Alligator mississippiensis: one gene and its partner. The protein of the gene in region 1 interacts with the protein of each later gene in a pairwise test. Links are inferred from orthologs where the notes say so. Each region holds a gene or a part of one and is shown in the gene's direction. Other genes may lie near its edges.

Region 1 (10,309 bases):
GCCGCACCCCTGACCTCGAGGCCATCCTGGAGACCATCGCGGATGCCCAGGCTTTCATCCATGTTGCCGTGATGGACTTTGTGCCCCAGTGCACCTTCTGCACTCCCAAGAGGTAGCCGCGGACTAGACCGGCACGGGCTGGGGGAAGTCTAGGAGCAGTGATGCCTGTGATCTCCAGGCCTTGGGGTTTTGCTGGCTGCCACATGGGGCTGGGAGGGAATTTTCCCCTTGCATCAAGATTTCTCCCTCTTTGCAGTGGTGCTTGGTGTCAGCCGCAGCCCAGGCTGGGGGCAGTGGCTGGGTTGTGCCAATGCTTCTGCTGGGACTCAACCCAGAGTGTCCTGGCTGGAGGGTCGTGCCCCCTGCTCAGGGTCAAACTGATGCTGCACAGGGGGCAGGAAGAAGTTTTCCTCTGGTCAGATTAGTACAGACCAGGGTGCGGGGTGGGCGTTGTCTTCCTCAGCAGTGGGTGCCCTGGGGTCTCTGGGGCATATTTAACGCCCCTCCCACAGGAGCAGGGTGCTGGCAGACAGACCCCTGGTTTCCCTTTGGGCAGGCTCGGGTGGTTGGGTTGGAGGTGATTGCATTGTTGTGCCCATAGGTGAGTTCGCAGGGGCTGGCTTGCGTGGGGCAGGGGTTTGGGGCTGGATGCGACTCCCAGAGGTCTCTGCCTCTCCCCGTGACCAGCGCCGGCTGCCCGCAGGTTCTGGCCAGTGCTGGATGAGGCGCTGCGGGAGGCAGCCTGCGGCCGGGGGGTGCGCGTGCGGCTCCTGGCCAGCTGCTGGCCTCACTCTGACCGCGCCATGTTCCCCTTCCTGGAGTCGCTGCTCATCCTGCACCGGGAGCCCCTGGGCTGCCCCATCGAGGTGGTGAGTCCTGGAGCTGCAGGAGAGGATCCCAGCCCAGGGAGGGGCAGGGGTCACTTCAGAGCTGGGGGGGAGGTTGGGGTAGGGGGTGACACTACCGCTCCCTCCACCTCTGCTGCAGAAACTCTTCGTTGTCCCGGCCACGGAGCAGCAGAAGCAAATCCCCTTCGCCCGTGTCAACCACAACAAGTACATGGTCACCGACCGCGTGGCCTACATCGGTAAGCCCGGGCACCAGTGCTGGGAGGGGGCTGGAGGCGTAGACACCTGGCTTCTCCCCAGCCCTGGGAGGGAAGTGGGCGTGGGGGCTTGGAGCAGGGAGGAGCTGGGAGCCCGGACCCCTGGCTTCCACCTTTTTCTGGGGACCTCTCTGGTGAGCTGAGCCCTCCCCTGCCCAATCCCAAGCAGCACTGGTGTTTATCACTGGTTTCCCCCCCTCCCCGTAGGCACCTCGAACTGGTCGGAGGATTACTTCATCAACACCGCAGGCGTGGGCCTGGTTGTGAATCAGAGCACCGAGGAGCCGGGGACACCCGGGCCTTCCCTGCGGGAGCAGCTGGCCGCTGTGTTCAACCGGGACTGGGAATCTCCCTACACGGAGCCGCTCAGCCTCAAGCCCCGCTGTGCTGCCAGGCACTGAGGGCAGCTCCCGCTGAGGGTGGGGGAAAGCCTGGGACCCCACCCTCCTCCCCTGGACTGCTTTGGACAGCTGGGGATACCAGGTGGCTCCCACCCCCCACCTGGGGGGGCTGGGACCCTATTAGCCAAAGAAGGGGCAGCAGTAGCTGCCTAGTGCCAGGCACCCCATGGCTGCAGCTATGGCCAGGGGGTCTCTGCACTGGAATCTCAGGGTCTGATGCCCTCTCCCTGCCTGGGGGGGGCGAGGGGTCTTGGGAGGGTTGTGCTCAGGGCAGCAGCAGGGGCAATGGGCATTGTTTGGGGGGTAGGTCATGGGCTGGGGCAGGAAGAATCGGGGCTAATCAGGAGCAGGGCCTTGTGGCGGGAAGGCGGGACGGGGTGGGCAGGGGGCTGCTTTGCTGGATTGCATGGCATTGTGGGGGCACGGCGCCTCTGCCAGTTTGCACTGAGCCCGGCTGGGGGGCTGTGGCCCAGGTTTGGGGGGGGGGGGGCATACTGATGTGGGCCAAGGGGGTTCAAAGCTAGGCTGAGTGGCTAGCCCTGGGGGTGGCCTGCGTGGGGATGGGGGGGCAGGGGGCTTTGTACACAGGGGCTGTGCCTTGGGGGTGCAAGGGGACGCAGCCCTCCCCAGGGGCCAAACGCGGGGCCAGAGGTGGGGGGGTCGGTGGCTCTGAGCAGCTCCTATGTGGCTGGGGGAGGGGGGGGCTGCACCCTGCAGGGGGTTGCAGTGGGTTTGGGGGGCTTTGCAGCTGGGCCATTGCGGGGGGAGGAGTGGGAGTGGGGGGGGCCTGTGCATTGCAGTTGTCACTTTCCAGAGTTTATTTTTGTAACCAGAGCGACAATAAAGCAAATTCTGATGCCACTGGGCCTGTCAATCACCGCATACGCCCCACCCCTCGCGCTATCAATCACCGCCCCGGGCCCCGCCCCTGCCCCTGCCGGGGGCTCCGCAGCGCCCCCTTGTGCCTGCCGCGCGCAGGCGCCGTTGGGTGCCTCTGGTGTCATGGCGGCCGCGCAGCCAGCCTGCCTCTGCCCCGAGTGCGCATGCGCTGCAGCTCGCTGTCCCTCGGCTGAGCGCATGCGCAATTAGTTCCCGTGGGGGTTCTGTTACGGGCCGAGGGGGCGGGGCTCCCGCGGGGCTGCGGCCAATCGGGGGCAAGCGCGGTGTTGCGGGTTCTTTCCGGTCCGGAGACGTCGGGACTCAGGAGGATGTTTTACCACGTGAGTGGCGGAACCCCCCCCCCCCCCCATGCCCCCGGGGCTGGGACACTGCGGACCCCGCCCCAGGGAGACCCCCAGCGCAACCAGGCTTCCCGGCATGCACTGCTGCCCAGCCTTGAGAAGGGGGTTTACCTGGGGGGGTGGACAGCGGGAGGGTGACAGTCCTGGGGGGAGGAAGGAGGGCTGATGGGGGGAGGGAGGGGGGTTGACAGGGCAGTCCTGGGGGGGGTGATGGGGGGGCAGTCCTGGGGAAGGAGGGGAGTGGGTGGGGGCAGGGGGGCCTGTCCCAGCCCCTGTGACAGTCTGTGACCACCCCATGTCCTGCCCCAACAGATCTCCCTGGAGCACGAGATCCTGCTGCACCCGCGCTACTTCGGGCCCAACCTGCTCAACACGGTGAAGCAGAAGCTCTTCACCGAGGTGGAGGGCACCTGCACGGGCAAGTGAGTGGGGGGCCAGGCCAGGCTGGGTTGGGGGAGAACAGGGAGCTGGGACACGTGGATGGAGGGGATCCCACCATGATCTAATGTCCTAACGAGACTGGTGTTGTCCCTCCCCGCCCCGTTCCCTCCCTGGCAGGTACGGCTTCGTCATCGCCGTCACCACCATCGACAACATCGGGGCAGGCGTCATCCAGCCGGGCCGCGGCTTCGTGCTCTACCCCGTCAAGTACAAGGCCATCGTCTTCCGGCCCTTTAAAGGCGAGGTGGTGGATGCGGTGGTGACCCAGGTCAACAAGGTGAGGGGCGGCGGGGCACAGGAAAGCCTCTGGTGTAAGCCCTGGTGCGGAGGAGGGCTGCAGCCCTGCACCATCTGTCTTGGGATGCGGGGGGCTGTAGAAGCTGCTGGAGGCTGGGGCGTGCTGCCTCTGTCCCCCAGGACTAGAGTGACCAGATGTCCCATTTTTGGCTGGGACAGTGCCAGATTCTGCAGGCTGGTCCTGGCTGGCTGGGCAGAAGTCCTGAGCGGCGAGGCCGAGCAGCTTGGTGCGCCAGGCGGGCGGGTGGACACCTGCTGCAGTGCAGGAGCAAGGCGGGCGGACGTACGGCCACCCTAAGATACCACATCCGAGACCCCTACGTTCCTTGCTCCCGCGTTGCCCAAACCCAGGACTGTCACCGTGGCCCTCACAGCTTTGCTGCCTCCTCTTCCCGCAGGTTGGGCTCTTCACTGAGATCGGGCCCATGTCTTGCTTCATCTCCCGCCATGTAAGCACTGCCTGGGGAGGGGGCTGGGGGCTGCCTCTGGTCTGGGAGGCTCAGGTGAGACCTGGGAGCCCACCACAGCTGACTGTCCTTCTCTCCATAGTCCATCCCCTCTGAGATGGAGTTCGACCCCAATTCCAACCCCCCCTGCTATAAAACGGTGGACGAGGTGAGCTGGGGCTGACGGTGCTCCCTGGGGGCACCTGGCAGCATTGGGGGGCACTGGGGAGGCTGGGGTAGAAACTCAGGTAGGGGCTAGGGGGTGCCCCAGAGCAGGGCAAGGGGCAGGAGGGTGGCTGTTTTCCAGTACATGAGATTCCTTGGGACAAGGAAGGCCGGGACGGGGCATGTCTGCTTTAGGCTCTGCTACTGTCCTGTTGAGTGGCCTGGGCCCTGTCACTTTCCCCTCGCATGTGCCTCACTTTATTCATCTGTAAAACCATCCAGCCTCCTTCAAAAAACTTCTGAAACCAGAAAAGAGAGGGACAAGCTGGTTGCAAATGGCATCTTAGTGATGAGAGGCATTCATGTCATTGAAGCCCTTCTCCCCTGTGGAGGAGATGGCAGGGGCTGCCGTGGTGTGGGGGGAGGGGGAAGCAGGGTGCAGAAATGAGTCTCGCCTGGGCTCCACGTGTCTGCAGGACATCGTGATCCAGCAGGACGACGAGATCCGGCTGAAAATTGTGGGAACCCGAGTGGACAAGAATGACATCGTGAGTCCTGCCTGCTTCTTTCTGTGGGGCTGGAGCCGGGTTCCCAGCTACCCCATTCCTAGCAGAGGGGCTGTGGGCCTGGAGCAGCTGGGTGGGAAGGAGTTGTGGGGCTGTCCCAGTGCCAGCGGGGTGGGAGCATGGGGGCTCCAGTCCCAGGCTGCGGGAGGGGGCGGGGGGCATACGCGGTGCTCACACCTGTGTCCTGCTTTGCAGTTTGCCATCGGCTCCCTCATGGACGACTATCTGGGTGAGTCTCGTCTCTGGCTCCAGGCCTGCCCCTATCCCTGCGTACCTGCACAGACTGGTGCTCCTGACAGTTGGTGCCCGCGGGTCGGGCTCTGCTCACCGAGGGGCTGCAGTCTTTCTCAGGTGGGGGCTCCTGGGCGATGGTGCTCCAGGGTCTCCTACATCCACCCTTCTCTCTCCATGTCTCCTTCAGGTCTCGTGAGCTGATGCACAAGCCCGTTCCTCTGGTTGTGTCCCTGGGCTCCAGCTGGGATGAGCCTTGCCTCTGCCCCCCTGCACTGCTTGCCCTATTTATGGGGGTCCGGCGTGGGCCTGCCCAGGCCTGGGGGCCGGGTCCACACCTGCCTGTTCTTCCTCCCAATAAAAGCTGCTTTTCATACACCGCTGTGGTGTGTCTGCTGTTCCCCACTCCCTCCCGTGACCCGAAGCTGCTTCGTGGGAGTGGGAGGGTGTAGGGGGGCAGAGGGGGGCTGCCTGGGGCTGGGCTGTGCTGAAGCACCCGCCCCCGTAGAGCCAGGACTCTGCTGTGCTAGGTGCTGTACAGGCACAGGGTGGGAGTTTGGGGAGAGCTGCAGTAGGATGGAGGGGTGTTGGGGAATGAGCCTGGGATAAGGGGGTGCAGTGACCCTGCAACCCTGGCCAGCCCCATTGGGACCCCAGGGCGGTCTGGGAGGACTGGGACCTCCCTGAAAACAGCACCCCGCCCCCCAGCTGACAGCAGTGGGGGGGTGGGGTTTGGGGCGTGGAGGAGCCCTGGGAACAGCACGTGGGACCAGCTGCAGGACCAGCCCGCGGGCGCCCCCGTGTGACAGAAGCGCGTTATTACCACTTCCAAGGCCTCACCGCGCAGGCGCAAGCTCCTCCACGCCCCCCTACCGCCCCTCGGGAGACGCCCCTTCCGCTGCTGTGACGTCATATGCCGGCGCCGGCGGCAGGAGGCAGCTGTCGTGCTGCCGCGGCCGCGCGCTTTACGGCCCCGCCACCTCCTCCCCCGCGCGCTTTACGGCAGCCTCCCTTTCTCCGCTCGCGAAGATGGCGGTGGCCGGGGTGAGTGCGGGGGCCCCCGCCCCCTCGCGCTATCCGGCCCCATCCGCCCCGGGGGGGGCCCGGCCGGGGCCGGCGCGGGGCGGGCGGCCGAGGGCGGCCCTGGCCCGTCCCTTTGCGGCGGTTATTGGCGGGAGCTGGCGCGGAGGAGCCGCTTGCGGGGCCTGGATGTGTGGGGGGGGGGCCTGGCTCGGGTGACAGCAGGCCTTGGCCCCTAGAGGGTTTCCCTGGGGGGCGGGGCTCGGGCAGGGACCGGGTCGGGGGGGGCGTGACCCTAGCAGAGGTGCTGGGGGCCCCTGGGCCAGTAAAAGGGGGGATTGGGGTCCCGGGGGGGGGTGCTGGTGCCAAGCAGGGAGCTGGCACCGGGCACTGTGCTGCGTGGGGGGGGGGGAAGCTGTGCAAAGGGGGCACAGGAAGGTGTGAAGTGGGGGGGGCATGGGCTGGAGCTGAGGACCCCTTGGTTGGGGTCTTGAGGGGTGTGTGGGGGGGGTCAGAGGAGATCAGTCGGGGGTCGGTGGGTCTGTTGCAGGAGTGAGTTGGCAAAGGGGGGGGGCTAGGTTGAGGGGGGCTGAGGATCCTGCTGGGGGTGGGGCAGGGCAGTGCCCAACGGTGGGTGGGCTTTCGGGGTGCCTCGAGTGAGGGGTGCAGGTGCCTCGCTGGGGGCGAGGGAGCGCTGTGTGCGCGTGCGGGGGGGGGGGGCGCTGCCCGACTCCCCTCACCCCCTGCTGCGCCCCACAGACTCTGTACACCTATCCCGAGAACTGGCGGGCCTTCAAGGCGCTCATCGCCGCCCAGTTCAGCGGCGCCAAGGTCAAGGTCCTCTCCACGCCCCCCCAGTTCCACTTCGGGCAGACCAACAAGACCCCCGAGTTCCTGAAGAAGTTCCCCGTCGGGAAGGTGGGTAACGGCGCCACAGGGGGGGGGGGGGGGGGATGGGATCTGGCTGGGGGCTTTGCCAGGTTTCCAGCCGTGAGTCATCGAAATCGGACACGGCTCCGCTGCCACGCTGTCCTTCTGCCCCGGCTCCTTGCGCTGTGGGGGTGGAGGGCAAGGGGTCCCGCTTCGCATCGAGGGGAGCCGTGCGTCTCCCCAAGGGGAGCTCGGACGGTGTTTGTAAGGGGAGTTTTTCTTTCCAAAGCTTGGCAAGGGGGAAAGGCTACTCCTAGGAGCTGGGGGTGCCCCGAAGGTGGGTTCCCGTACCCACAATCCGTGGTTCCCGTACCCTACTGGTAAACGCCTCTTTCTCTGCCAAGGTCCCGGCTTTCGAAGGCGACGATGGGTTCTGCGTGTTTGAGAGCAACGCTATCGCGTACTACGGTGAGCCCGGTCCCTCTCCAGCTTCAGGGGGCTCCGGTCCAGGCAGCTCTGAGTCTGTCGGAGGTTTGGGGCTGGGGGGATGGATGTTGGGGGCAGCGCCACGTGTCTAGAGCGCTGAGAAGTTTCCTTCCCCAGTGAAGATGGGAGGGACGGGGGGCTCTTGTGCTGCTGGTGACTGTGGGCTCCCTTCTCAGTCAGTAACGAGGAGCTGCGGGGTGCTAGCGCCGAGGCCGCCGCCCAGGTCCTCCAGTGGGTGAGCTTTGCAGACAGCGACGTCGTCCCCCCTGCCAGCACCTGGGTCTTCCCCACACTGGGCATCATGCACTACAACAAACAGGTCTGTGGGAGCCGGGGCTGGAGCGGGGGGCACAGGGCTGTCCTGCAGGGGCCTGCGGTGAGGTGAAGGCTGGGATTCGCTGTCATTTCTGTCGGCTGTGGGCTTCCTGCTCCCCTACTGCCTTTGTTGCCCCAGGCACAGAGCGAGGTCCTGGCTGCTTGGCGATGAGGCTAGGTGGATGCTCAGAGGCGTTTGGTAGCTGAGGTCTGTTGTCTTTCGACCTGGAGTCAGGGGAGGGGTGCTGGGCTTAGCTATGTACAGGTGTGCCTTAAGAATGGCTGGGCGTGGGGTGTCCGCAACCTGCCTCTTTCTCTGGTCCCCCCAGGTGAGACCCTGGCGACTGCCCGAGTGGGTTGCAGGTGCACCCAGTGCTCGTGGGCTCCCCTGCTGCAGTGGATGCCCGGGCCAGGGTAGTTGGGTGGACTGTGCTCTGCAGCGGGAGCTCCCCTGCCGGAGACCTCCCCGTGCTGACTGCCTCTTGGATTAGTGTCTGAGCACCTAAGGGATGGGCTAGAGCTAGGGAGGAGGCTTTTCCGCATGGGTTTCTCTGGCCTGGGTGCTGATCTGGTGTCTTTGCTCCCCCAGGCAACAGAACTTGCCAAGGAGGAGGTGAAGCGGGTACTGGGGATCCTGGATGCACACCTAAGGACTCGGACCTTCCTGGTGGGCGAGCGGATCACGTTGGCTGACATCACCGTCGTCTGTACCCTCCTCTGGCTCTACAAGCAGGTGCGGGTTGTGGGGGGAGGGTGGCTCCGTGGCCGTAGCCAGCAGCTCTGGAGGGGGCTGGCAGCTTTGGAGGCTCTGGACAGGGGCTGCTGTCTAGACGGATCACTTGGCTTGGCCTGGAGCTCTTGGTGTCCAGGACAACAGAAGGCTGCCGCTGTGTGTGCTGCGTAGCCGCCAAGGTTTGTGGGGGAGGTAGAAGGGAACCAAGATCCTCTACACGCTGTGGCGATGGGGCCAGCCCCAGCTGACTGGTGGCCTGTCCCTCCAGGTTCTGGAGCCATCCTTCCGCCAGCCCTATGTGAACACCAACCGCTGGTTCGTCACCTGCATCAACCAGCCGCAGTTCAAGGCCGTGCTGGGGGAGGTGAAGCTCTGCGAGAAAATGGCCCAGTTTGATGGTGAGGAGCTCCCTGGGCTGCGAGGGGGGAGCTTGGCTGAGTCCCCTTGCCAAGGTGTCGGGGTTTGTTCCTGCCTCCCAGGAGCAGCCACTCGCCAGCATTGCCCAGGCTGCACCTGGAGCTAGTGCAGGGGGCCCATCCCGCACCAGCACTTCCTCATAGGCTGGCCCTGTCCTCGCTTCCACTGCAGCCAAGAAGTTTGCTGAGAACCAGCCCAAGAAAGACACCCCCAAGAAGGAGAAACCAGCAAAGGAGGACAAAAAGCAGCAGGCGCCGCAGCAGCAGGAGAAGAAGGAGGACAAGAAGCCGGCCCCCGAGGATGAGCTGGATGAGTGCGAGCAGGCCCTCGCGGCTGAGCCCAAGACCAAGGACCCCTTCGCACACCTGCCTAAGAGGTGGGGATGGACCCCGTGGGGGGAGGGGGGGGTGTTGACCAGTGCACCCGAGGGGTGTCCCCCTCCACCCCTCCCATGTGTCTTCCAGGCTTAGCGGGAGGCAGCTGGGTCTCTGTTCCTTTCCCCCCTTCTCTCCTGGCCTCTTCTGGGCTGCCTGCCACCTGTTTTGTTCATGCCAGTGGCTGGGGCTGCAGCCAGGCGGCTCTGCGCGCCTGGATGGAGCAGGGCAGAGCTGCCTTGTCAGGACAAACTGGGGGAAAGGGGGGGCACGGTCCAGCCCCTCCATACCAGAGGGAGGGAACCTGAGTCAGCTGGAGCCACCAGGGGGCAGCAGCTGCCCGCAGTGCCCCGGCTCCCACACCCTGCCACGTGCTGCAGAGCACTGGGCCACCGCCCAGCACGTCCTGCTGGGGAAGGGGGGGCTTGGGGGCTGCTGTGGGGAGCCCGGCTGGCGCCCACCCTCAAACTGACTAAGCCACCGTCCCCCACCCCCAGCCCGTTCATCATGGACGAGTTTAAGCGGAAGTATTCTAACGAGGACACGTTAACGGTGGCGCTACCCCACTTCTGGGAGCACTTCGACAAGGAGGGCTGGTCCATCTGGTTCGCCGAGTACCGCTTCCCCAGCGAGCTCTCCCAGACCTTCATGAGCTGCAACCTCATCACAGGTGACATCCCCCTGTCCTGTCTCTCTTTCCCCCCCCCCCCAAGCTGGAGCCTGACTGCGTTGGGGGTGTGCTGGGGTGCTGCCCTGACAGTTTTCCTCCCCCTTGCCTCTCGCAGGCATGTTCCAGCGCCTGGACAAGTTGCGTAAGAACGCCTTCTCCAGCGTCATCCTCTTCGGCACTAACAACGACAGCAGCATCTCCGGCATCTGGGTTTTCCGCGGCCAGGAACTTGCCTTCCCGGTGAGTTTGTGTCTTGGGTGTGTTATGCTGGGTGGGTGGGTGCACGTGCGTGTCCTCCCTCTGCTGACACTGCTCTTCTCGCCTCCCCCCAGCTGAGCCCCGACTGGCAGGTGGATTACGAGTCCTACACCTGGCGGAAGCTGGACCCAGACAGCGAGGAGTGCAAGACGCTGGTCAAGGAGTATTTCCTGTGGGAGGGTGACTTCAAGCACGTGGGGAAAGCCTTCAACCAGGGCAAGATCTTCAAGTGAGCTGCTGCCTTCCCGCCAGGCAGCACTGCACGGACTGACC
Region 2 (10,188 bases), on another chromosome or scaffold:
CTGCCTCAGCCAGTTCCTGGGCAAACTCCTGGTCTAGCTCAGGACTTTGGGTGATCTCCAAGGAGCCCCTGGGATCACTGGGTGGTGACAGCATGGGGCTGGGTCCTGAGGCAGAGCCACGTACGAAATTTTGGTGAGCTGTTGCAGGGCCAAGGGACAGGGAGTGCTGGCCTGGCCCGTGGCAGCTCACCAAAACCCCCCCAGTGGCCCTCTGGCCCAAATGTTGGCTCACCCCTGCACTAGAGGCTCTGCACAGGGGCACAGACTGTGCAAAACCCCAACAGCACAGGGATGAATTACTTCTGTTATGTTTGGACATTCCAGTATCAACTTTTCAGGACAGTCATTTGCTTACTGCTCACCTGAGGACAAATAACCTGAGGCAGGGTTACAACAGGGGAAGATATCACCCGTGCCCCAAGCAGAGCAAGCCTCTCCGTTCCTTTCACTACTTTAGCTGCTTCACTATCCCTGTTATTTGCCTTTAAATGAATACTAAGTGCACAGATACAGAGTATGTAGATAGTCTACTATCTCATGATGACTTACCATAAAAATGAAAAAGTACCTTTCACCTGAGGGTCTTAAAGTACTTATGTCTGAACAGCTTAACAAACACCCCTGAGGGCAAAGAGGTATATCCATTTCATACGAGGAAATTTCTTTTTCAATATACTTCTTAGACTGGAAGATTCTCACCATGCCACCAGACTAATGATACTCACCAGCTAACACAGAGAGTGGCTTGTGAGGCCACCTGCAGAAGATGAAACACGCTCATGACTACTGTTTGTATATTAGTATTTAAACACAGATTGAATGCTAGTGAAAGAGTGACAGCCCCGGAGCATGAAGCGCTTTCTTTATCCGAAGAAAAGGGACAGTTCAGAGAGCAGATCTGTAACTTTTCACAGTATCTTGTCAATGGGCTTCTACCTGAACCTGAAGGTTATAAACACATGTGCTCTGTTTCTTCAGCTGCAGCAAGAATCCCGGCAGAAGTAGGGTGACGGGACAGTTCCAAGTGCAAGCTCTAAAAAGAAAGAGAGAGAGAGAAAAGCTTTGGAGCAAGTGCTATTTTCATTATTGTAATAAAGTTCATTATTCATTGTTAGAAGAAAGAGAGTCCTTTCGTGGTTCTTCACCATTGTCACATGAGAGAAAAGTCACGGCTGTAAGAAAGGGGCATTCAGCCTCTATGGCCCACTCAGCCCTTGGCCTTTCTGCTGTCACTGCTGACTGGGATGCCAATTTGCATCGCTGTTTTTATGACGTGGGCACCACAGAACTGAGATCCATCAAGGTCGTTCCATACAAGACACCCAATAGTCTCCCAGGGTTAGGAACAGTGATTCCTTCAGAGAGGTTTTTACTGAGCAGCCTAGAAACGAAAGGCCCCATAGCCCACAGCCTCCAAACCTCCAGCCAACCGTGGATTTTTCAGATGGTATCTGTGGGGGAATCACAGACATTTACACATGAGGATTTTTCCAGCTATTTGAGTTGGTCTAATAAAAGATATCAGATTTACCCAAAGAACCTTGTCTGCCTATGTCCTTAGACCAACACGGCTACAACTTAAACCCCACACAGGCGTTTACTTATTTTTATTGAAGCGTTAAACATAAAATTACATGTATAATAGGCACGTGAGCTGAAACGCCCCTAGCTACTCCAACAACTAAGGCAACAGGAAGAAATGCCTAGATGAGATTATTAGCAAGGTCTCCCTTCACCCTTCACCAACAGCATCTCACCAGCACCCTACAAGAAGCAAGCACTAAACAACCAGCTTCACAATACACAGCCAACAATAAAAGGGGACAAGGAAGCCGTAGCTCTCACCGGAGTGAATGCCATGCTTCTCTGGTGGGGCTAGAGAAATCACAGGTAATAATCATCATGCTACCAGTGGAATACTGGCAAATGTTTGCACTTGCAGCAAATCTTTGCTCTCAAATCTATTTACAAACTACAGGCCTAATCCTGAAATCCTTACTCAGCCCTTGCTGGGGCCTGGAGAGCAACGTGAGTTTTCCTGTAAGTTCTGAGTAAAGACTAAGGATTTTGGTAATTGGAGCTATACAGCCACAGCACCGAAACACAGCTGACTCTTGCGCGGAGGGGAACTCAACATGTCACACAGCAGAGCAGGGAGAAAGGGGGTTCTTGGTTGAGGATCTCGGCTCGACAGCTCAATTTGGACAGGGCACAGGTTGGCACCAAGCTGGCCAAACACAGGGCAGAGTGGAGGAGGGTTGTTACAGCATCTAAGGTGCCCCAATGGTTGCAGCGGCCTCGGGACTGATCTGACCCAACCTGACACACCGGCACAGTTCAGGGCCAGGTAGAGCAGGCAGCAGAGTGGCTTGAGACCTTCCCACAGCAAATGGCTCAGTTTATCTACCTTGGGACAGCGAGCTGGGTCAACTCTGCTGGAAGCCGAACATGAGACAAGCAGGCTGAGAAGAATGGGATTGGACACCCAGACAGGATCATAAAGAAGTCGGGCTGGGAGGGACCTTATGAGGTCTCCTAGCCCAGCCCCTGCTCAAGGAAGGATTGTCTCTGACTCAACCAGCCCAGCCAAGGGGCTGTGCAACCTCCTGAACATTTCCAAGGATGGAGATCCCACAATTTTTCTAGGCAGCCTATTCCAGTGCCTGATCCCTCATAATCAAAAAGTTTTTTCCAATCTCAAACCTACATTTCCTCTGCTACAGCTTGAGGCCTTTGCTCCTACGGTCACAGAGGAAAGCCCATCTCCATCCTCTCTATAATCGCCCTTCAGGTATTTGAAGACTGCGATCAAATCCCTTCTTGGTCTTCTCTTCTCCAGACTAAATAACCCGAGCTCTTACATCCTTTCCTCCTAAGTCCAGGCCCCTGATCATTGTTGTCACCCTGCATTGGACTCTTTCCAACCTGTCCACATCCTCCTTGAAGTGTGGGGCCCAAAACTGGACACAGCGTGCCATCCAGGTGAGTGAGTGGAGGAATCACTTCCCTTGACTTGCAGGTGACACTCCTGTTAATATAACACAGGATGCTGTTGGTTTTTTCAGCAATAAGAAAGCACTGCTGGCTCATACTCAGCTTATGGTCCACTGTAACTCCCATGTCCTTCTCTGCAGCACTGCAGCCGAGCCAGTCATTCCCCTGTCTATATTTGCACACACTTTGTTGAACCTCATTTCACTGATTGTGGACCACTGAGTCATTCTGGATCCTGCCCTTCAGAGTATCTGCAACCACACCCAAATGCTATCTGCAAACTTGTCAAAGATGTCCTATTGGCTTTCAAACTCAATATATCTCCTCTCAGACTACAGTCTGCCAAATTAGGATATCAAAACCATGGCTTTGATCCCGCAGTTTGAAGGAATCCGGGCATTTTTGCATCGCTTTTCTGTCCCAACCACTCCAACGTTCAGAGCAAGCGCAGGTTTCCCAAAGGGACAGTGCTGCCATCTTCACCGTGAGCAACATGAGATGGGGACAGCGTTGGATGTGAAAAAAGAAACGAGTGGCAGCGCAGCCCTGTGGGTGGAAGTGATGCAGACAACACGGGATACCTGGGACGTAGGGATGAAGGGGAGCGAGGCTGAGAAGTACGGATGGAGAGAGCAGCAATGAGCAGTGATAAAAGTGATGCGGGGGCCGGGGAGGCAAGACTGAGGAGGAAAGGCTGGAGGACCCAGGGGTGGGATTTAGACCGAGGCGGGATTTGATCACAGTCTTCAACTGTCTGATGGAAACGGAGAAGACAGAGACAGAGAAGATGGAGACAGGCTGTTCTCTGTGACCGCAGGGGACAGGATGAGGAGCAATGGCTTCAAGCTGCAGCAGGGGAAACTGAAGCTGGAGATGAGCAGGAACGTCCTGACTCCGAGGGTGGTCCTGGTGCCCGTCCTCAGAGGTTTCCGGGAGTAGGTTGGAGATGCCGTGGCTGGGCTGGGTGACGGTCGCCGCGTTCGTCCGAAGCCGAGCAGAAGGCCGGGGGAGTCGGCGCTGTCCGGACGAAGCCGAGCAGGGAGAGCGCAGACGGCCAGATACGCGGGAACCCAGAAGTGCTCCTGCCCCGACCAGGGAGACGCCACCACGCCGGGGCCCAGCAAAGCAGGGGCGAGGGGGCTGCAGGGCCAGGCCACAGGCGGGGGCTCACCCCGGAGCAGAGGCCTGTGGAGCCTTGAGACCCCTTGCAGGGGGATGAGGTCACATGACAAATGTACTCTGTCCAAGTTTGCAGATGACACAAAGCTATGGGGAGAAGTGGACACACCGGAGGGCAGGGAACAGCTGCAGGCAGACCTGGATAGGCTGGACAAGTGGGCAGAAAACAACAGGATGCAGTTCAACAAGGAGAAATGCAAAGTGCTGCACCTAGGGAGGAAAAATGTCCAGCACACCTACAGCCTAGGAAATGACCTGCTGGGTGGCACAGAGGTGGAAAGGGGTCTCAGAGTCCTAGTGGACTCCAAGATGAACATGAGCCGGCAGTGTGACGAAGCCATCAGAAAAGCCAATGGCACTTTATCGTGCATCAGCAGATGCATGACGAATAGGTCCAGGGAGGTGATACTTCCCCTCTATCGGGCGCTGGTCAGACCGCAGTTGGAGTACTGCGTGCAATTCTGGGCGCCGCACTTCAAGAGGGATGCGGATAACCTGGAGAGGGTCCAGAGAAGGAACACTCGTATGGTTAAGGGCTTGCAGGCCAAGCCCTACGAGGAGAGACTAGAGAAACTGGACCTTTTCAGCCTCCGCAAGAGAAGGTTGAGAGGCGACCTTGTGGCTGCCTATAAGTTCATCACGGGGGCACAGAAGGGAATTGGTGAGGATTTATTCACCAAGGCGCCCCCGGGGGTTACAAGAAACAATGGCCACAAGCTAGCAGAGAGCAGATTTAGATTGGACATTAGGAAGAACTTCTTCACAGTTCGAGTGGCCAAGGTCTGGAACGGGCTCCCAAGGGAGGTGGTGCTCTCCCCTACCCTGGGGGTCTTCAAGAGGAGGTTAGATGAGTATCTAGCTGGGGTCATCTAGACCCAGCACTCTTTCCTGCTTATGCAGGGGGTTGGACTCAATGACCTATTGAGGTCCCTTCCGACCCTAACATCTATGAATCTATGAATCTATGGCATCACGATGGGGGGTAAAAACAGGGTGCGGGGATAACGTCATGCTGACGTGTGCCATAGGGTGAAAGGGGGTGCAGGGAGGATGTCATGATGTCTGGCATGGGGTGAAAGAGGGTGCAGGGATCACATCATGATGACATGTGGCATGGGGTGAAAGGGGGTGTGTGGGGATGATGTCATGATGTGTAGCATGGGGTGAAAGGGGGCGCAGGAATGATGTCATGGTGACGTGCGGCATGGGGTGAAATGGGGTGTAGGGATGACGTCGTGATGACGCGTGGCACGGGATGAAATGGGGGCATGGGGGATGACGTCACGATGACGCCTGGCATGGGGTGAACTGGGAGGAATGGGGGTGACGTCGTGATGACGTGACACGGGGGGCAGGGGGCGCGTTACCCGCTCCTCCGTCGCTCCCTCCGCGCCGCGACCGCCAGGGACAGGTCGGGGGGGAGGGGCGGGGTGTGTACAGCGTTCCCATGGCTCCCGCTACTTCCGCCCAGGACCGGAAGTACTCGTCGGAACGCGGAAGTGAGGTCCGGCCCCTTCCGGCCGGCGCTGGCGCTGGCGCTAGCGCAAGGGGGCGGGGTCGCGGCGCTCGGCTACGGCGGCCGGGCGGGGACAGTGCGCGGCGAGGCGAAGCGCGGCGCGGCTGGGCGAGGCTAGACGAGGCGGCTGCCGGCCGGCGGGCGCGGGACGATGCTGGAGGCGGCGGCGGCCGAGGCCGAGCTGGACGCCGAGGACCTGGTGCACTTCTCGGTCGGGGACCTGCCCAGCCGCGGCTACGGCGTCATGGGCGAGATCCGGCGGCAGGGCAAGCTCTGTGACGTCACCCTCAAGGTGCGGGGGGGAGGGGTGGGGGCCATGAGGTAGGGGAGGGGTGCTGGGGTGTGTGCTGGGTGGGGGATGGAGGGGCAGTGGGGCGGGCGGGGGAGGGGTGCTGGGGTGTGTGCTGGGTGGGGGGTGCGGGATGGAGGGGCAGAGGGGTGCTGGGGTGTGTGCTGGGTGTGGGGGTGCAGGATGGAGGGGCAGTGGGGCGGGCGGGGGAGGGGTGCTGGGGTGTGTGCTGGGTGGGGGGTGCGGGATGGAGGGGCAGTGGGGCTGGGGGCCATTGGGACGTGGGGGAGGGTGCGGTGCGGTGTGGGGAGCGCGGCTGGCCCATGCGGTGCTGCAGCCGCAAGCCCCAGCTGCCCAGGGCGAGGGCATCGGCTGCCTGGAGCCCCTCCCAGCCAAGGCAGAGCGAGGGTGGGGGTGACATGACCCGGCCCGGCCCTTCTCTGGTTGAGCATTTGCCCCGTTGCCAGCCCCCGGGCGCCAGGCACGAGCCTCGCGGACTCCAGGGACGTCTTCAGCCCTCGGCCGCGTGGTCCTCCCTCCCTCCAGCCGGAGCCGCTTGACCCAGCACTTGCCGGTGGCAAAGGCGCGCGTTTCGGTAGCTGTTGTGTGTGTGCGTACATGCGCGTGTCGTGCTGGTGGTTACGGTGCAGAAATACTGGCCGCGGCGTAGGAACCGGATGACAGGCTAGCGCAGCGTGGACGGTTCGACGCCCGAGCTATGGCAGGCTTCGGACAGGGAGGATGTCGCTGCTGGGCTGGAAGCGTTCGTCGCGTTCCTCGCAGGCTGCGCGAGGAGTTCGCATCTCCCAGACGTTTTTACGTCACACAATCAGCAGCTGCCGTTGACGCGCCGATGTTGTCGGCGAAGCATCCGAGGCCTGGATGATCTGGGCAGTCATGCTGCTGCCTCCTCCTTGCTGTAGGCCTGCCGTTGGTAGGGCAGAGATTTGCACCGCGTCTTCTGGACGTTCACCTTAATGTGGAGAGACAGGAGTAGGAACCCATTATCTTTTAAGAGCATTATAGTCCCTGCCTTAAAGAGACTATAAGCCAGTGTTTGTAAAGCCTGGATAGGGCTTGCCGTGCTGTGTCATGCAAGTGATCCCATTATGATGCCTGTGGGAGCAGCTGGTGCCTCGGCAGGAGGTGCGGGAGTCTCTGTAGTTGGTAATTACAGACCTGGAGTTAATGGGCACAGGCGTTTGGTGGACACCTATGGTGCTGCTCTCACGCTTAAGGTGTGCAGACTGGTCACTCGGTCGTACGAATCACATCTCGAATTCAGCACTGATACGTTCCTCGGGCGACACAAATGGAGTTCATCCATCCACTTCCCACTGCGTAAGACAAGGGTTGTGTAAATAGCCCTTGTGTTCTTCACTCCAAGTATTGTGGGCGATTTGTATGTAAATGGAGACTATATGGGAATATTCAAGCCTTAAATGAAGAGTATATGGGGATATTCAAGCTGCACCAAATAGGATTCATTTCAGTTGCCCTCAGGATCTTCCTGAGAGAGTGTGTGTTTTGTCTGGGTGGTGACCGTGGGCACGCAGACACGGCACTTCATAACAGGCGGGCAATTAGCTCAGACTGGGGCGCTAATAATGCCAAGGCTGCAAGTTCGATCCCCGTATGGGGCACAAGGTATTTCCTGCCTCAGAAATCAGCGGTTCTCAACCTTTTCTCTACCAGGGGCCGTTTGTAAACCTCGCTGGCCACTGCCGACCCAGTGCCCCTCGCTCCCACCCTGCTGTCCCAAGGCCCCAGCCCTCCAGTGTGTGGGGCATGGGGGGCCCCAAGCCTGCAGCTCTGCCAGCTTGTAAGGAGAAAAACATGGGAAACCGTGGCTTTTCCCTTTAAAGGATAATCTTTTTAAAGTTTGATCCATTTTTTTCCAAGCTTGTTCCCGACCCTTTCATATATTCTTGCAATCCACTTTTGGGTTGAGAAACGCTGGACTAGATGACCCCTAGCGGTTTCCTCCCAGCCGTACTTCTCTGTGACTTCTACGACCCGGTTCCTCCAAATAAACTGCCCCAAAAAGAGACGTTTGGAAACTATTGGATGATTCATGTTTTCGCCGAAAAATACTTCTTTGTCGAAATGGAGACTTTCCCTGGAAACGTTTTCCATTAGATTGGAGATGCATTTTGTAGGATGGAAATTCTGGTCAGGCCAAAACAGGCCAGAGTGGTCGGTCTAGTCCAGCGGGTAGGGCAGTCGCCTGGATGTCAGCCCCAGGTTCAAGTAGCCCCGAGCTTTGGGTGTAGGTTTGCCACGTCAGGGGTGAATGCTTTGGTTGTTGGTTCTTCTGGGAGGTGCCTCTCTCCCTGTTTTCAAGATCTGCGTCTCGGGAGGACAGGCGGGGAGATCTTTGTTCTTCTGTACAACAGCAGCATTTTTAGCATCTCAGTTATTTTTGAGGGGGGATATCCATGTTGTTTCCAGCAAGCATGGTGTTGTAGGAAGAGAAATCACAAAAATCTACCAGCTCATTTGGCTTTTGGCTGGCAGAGGACTGAATGGCCCTTTCAAAAATCAATTTTGAGGCATGTTTCTGCAGGAGGGGCTGAGTTTGAAGTACTTTGGCCTGTGAAGTAGCTGTTCTGTAGATTAAGGAGGCTAAGGCCCCCGTGTCTGTATTGCCTCCCTGGTGAGTCTTAGACCACTGCTGGGAAATGAGCCCTGTTCTTGTCTCTTCCCCGCTCTCTGACATGAGGGAGCCTGGGACGGGTGCTGGGGTGTGCATTCAGGACCCCCCAGGCTGACTGTGCTGCCTAATTGCTAGGTCTGCACGCACAGCTGGAGCAAGCGAGTTGGGCTTGTCTCATGGTGGTGCCGGGCTCAGCAGGGAGGCCGGAGACTGTTTATCAGCCCAGCTCCCCTCGGTAGCACTCTTTTCTCTGAGAATAAATTAATCACGATCATGAAGTGTCCTCCTTCTCTGCCACTTCCACCTGCTGACAGCTGCCTCTTTCAGCGTTGGCTCGCACAGTCCTTGCCAGCTGAGCTGACATTGTTGACGGTCTCCAGCCAAGCCTTTTTTTCCCCTCTTTCCTTCAGTACAGGATGCCTTCTCCAGGCTCTTTAGTATGCATTGCAAGGTGTTGTGGAAGTCAATTTTATCAGATTAACTTTGGAAGTGTCTTTTCAGCCAGTGTAGCAGCCACTTCACTAAGCAGCTGATTTAAGAAATGGACTTTTTCCTTGACCTTGTCGAGGGCCACCCTCAGTGTGTGTTGATGAAGTTTTAAATGTTAAAATGCCTTAACCCCAAAAAGGGCTTACAAAGTGGGTTGCCTGGGAGAGGTTGTATTTGACTAAAGCTCGAGCGAAACCCCGGGAGGAACAATATAGGATGGTTTAAATCTCATTTTTCAAACAGAGGGGTCCCTGTTGGCAGCGGGGCTTAGTGCATGTTTCACGATGAAAAGGCTTGTTGCCATGTTGATTCTCCGATACGGGCTGTCCGAAGGGACGATGTGTACTCTGAAAACCCTTGTGTTCGGTGACCTGGCTTCTCTCCCTTGGCCTTGCCAGGATTAAAGCGCTGCTCTGTGTTTCACCAGAAATGGGAATGAGCACGGTTACTGAGCTATAGCAGGGTTCAGTTCAATAATAGCCCCCTCTCTAATAATGAGCAGAGTTTTAATGGTGCTAGGGGTTGAAAGCTGTAAATGATCCCGTGTGTAGGCAGGACCAACGTTGTTCAGTAGCATCAACTCTTGTCTCTGGTTTTTTCCCCCTTTGAAGCACTGGAAATGATCAAATGAAGGAGAAAGAGAAGCTGAATGAATGTAAAGGGAAGAGGACCTCTTTGGTTAACATGCCGAGTAGTTAGCCTAAAGCATGAGTATTCATTTAGGAGCATCTTAACTCCTGTGCTAAGGTTGAATTTAATCTTTATTGTCATCAGTGGGCCAGGGTTTGAATTTTAAAACACTCAGTAGGAAATGTTAAATGTTAAAAATCCTTGTGTCATCAGTAAAAGTATGGGACTGCTGTTCCTTCTCTCTCTTTCCTCTTCCCTCAATTAACTCCTGCCTGCTTTCTCCATCCCATCTTCTAAAAGCACCAGTGATTACGTAGTTGGAGGAGCCCTTAAGGCAACTCTAAAAATTAACAGAGAACATCTCCGTGAGATGAGCAGAGGCGGCGAGGATTTTACAGCTGTCAGATGTCCTTTTTGGCCATTAGCAGGGTTAGG

The links. The genes of interacting proteins can lie anywhere in the genome.
Region 2: the proteins of EEF1G (region 1) and KLHL18 interact in binary tests that used the Homo sapiens proteins (3 or more experiments, as listed by UniProt). The two-hybrid records come from large-scale screens. The link is inferred for Alligator mississippiensis from reciprocal best matches to the Homo sapiens genes EEF1G and KLHL18.

What each region holds. Positions count from the first base shown.
Region 1 is NC_081838.1:3,124,273-3,134,581, reverse strand, and holds the start of EEF1G (elongation factor 1-gamma), read left to right. Parts: upstream 1-5,838; 5' UTR 5,839-5,922; coding exon 5,923-5,937; intron 5,938-6,672; coding exon 6,673-6,831; intron 6,832-7,187; coding exon 7,188-7,251; intron 7,252-7,445; coding exon 7,446-7,588; intron 7,589-8,173; coding exon 8,174-8,317; intron 8,318-8,585; coding exon 8,586-8,715; intron 8,716-8,905; coding exon 8,906-9,110; intron 9,111-9,605; coding exon 9,606-9,778; intron 9,779-9,893; coding exon 9,894-10,018; intron 10,019-10,110; coding exon 10,111-10,269; 3' UTR 10,270-10,309. Other genes in the region: 5'-3' exonuclease PLD3, read left to right, coding at 1-112, 704-869, 988-1,087, 1,313-1,506; POLR2G (DNA-directed RNA polymerase II subunit RPB7), read left to right, coding at 2,715-2,726, 3,060-3,169, 3,306-3,465, 3,884-3,934, 4,035-4,100, 4,573-4,644, 4,858-4,891, 5,084-5,097. UniProt on the Homo sapiens protein: Probably plays a role in anchoring the complex to other cellular components.
Region 2 is NC_081828.1:216,967,512-216,977,699, forward strand, and holds the start of KLHL18 (kelch-like protein 18), read left to right. Parts: upstream 1-5,739; 5' UTR 5,740-5,840; coding exon 5,841-5,981; intron 5,982-10,188. UniProt on the Homo sapiens protein: Substrate-specific adapter of a BCR (BTB-CUL3-RBX1) E3 ubiquitin-protein ligase complex required for mitotic progression and cytokinesis.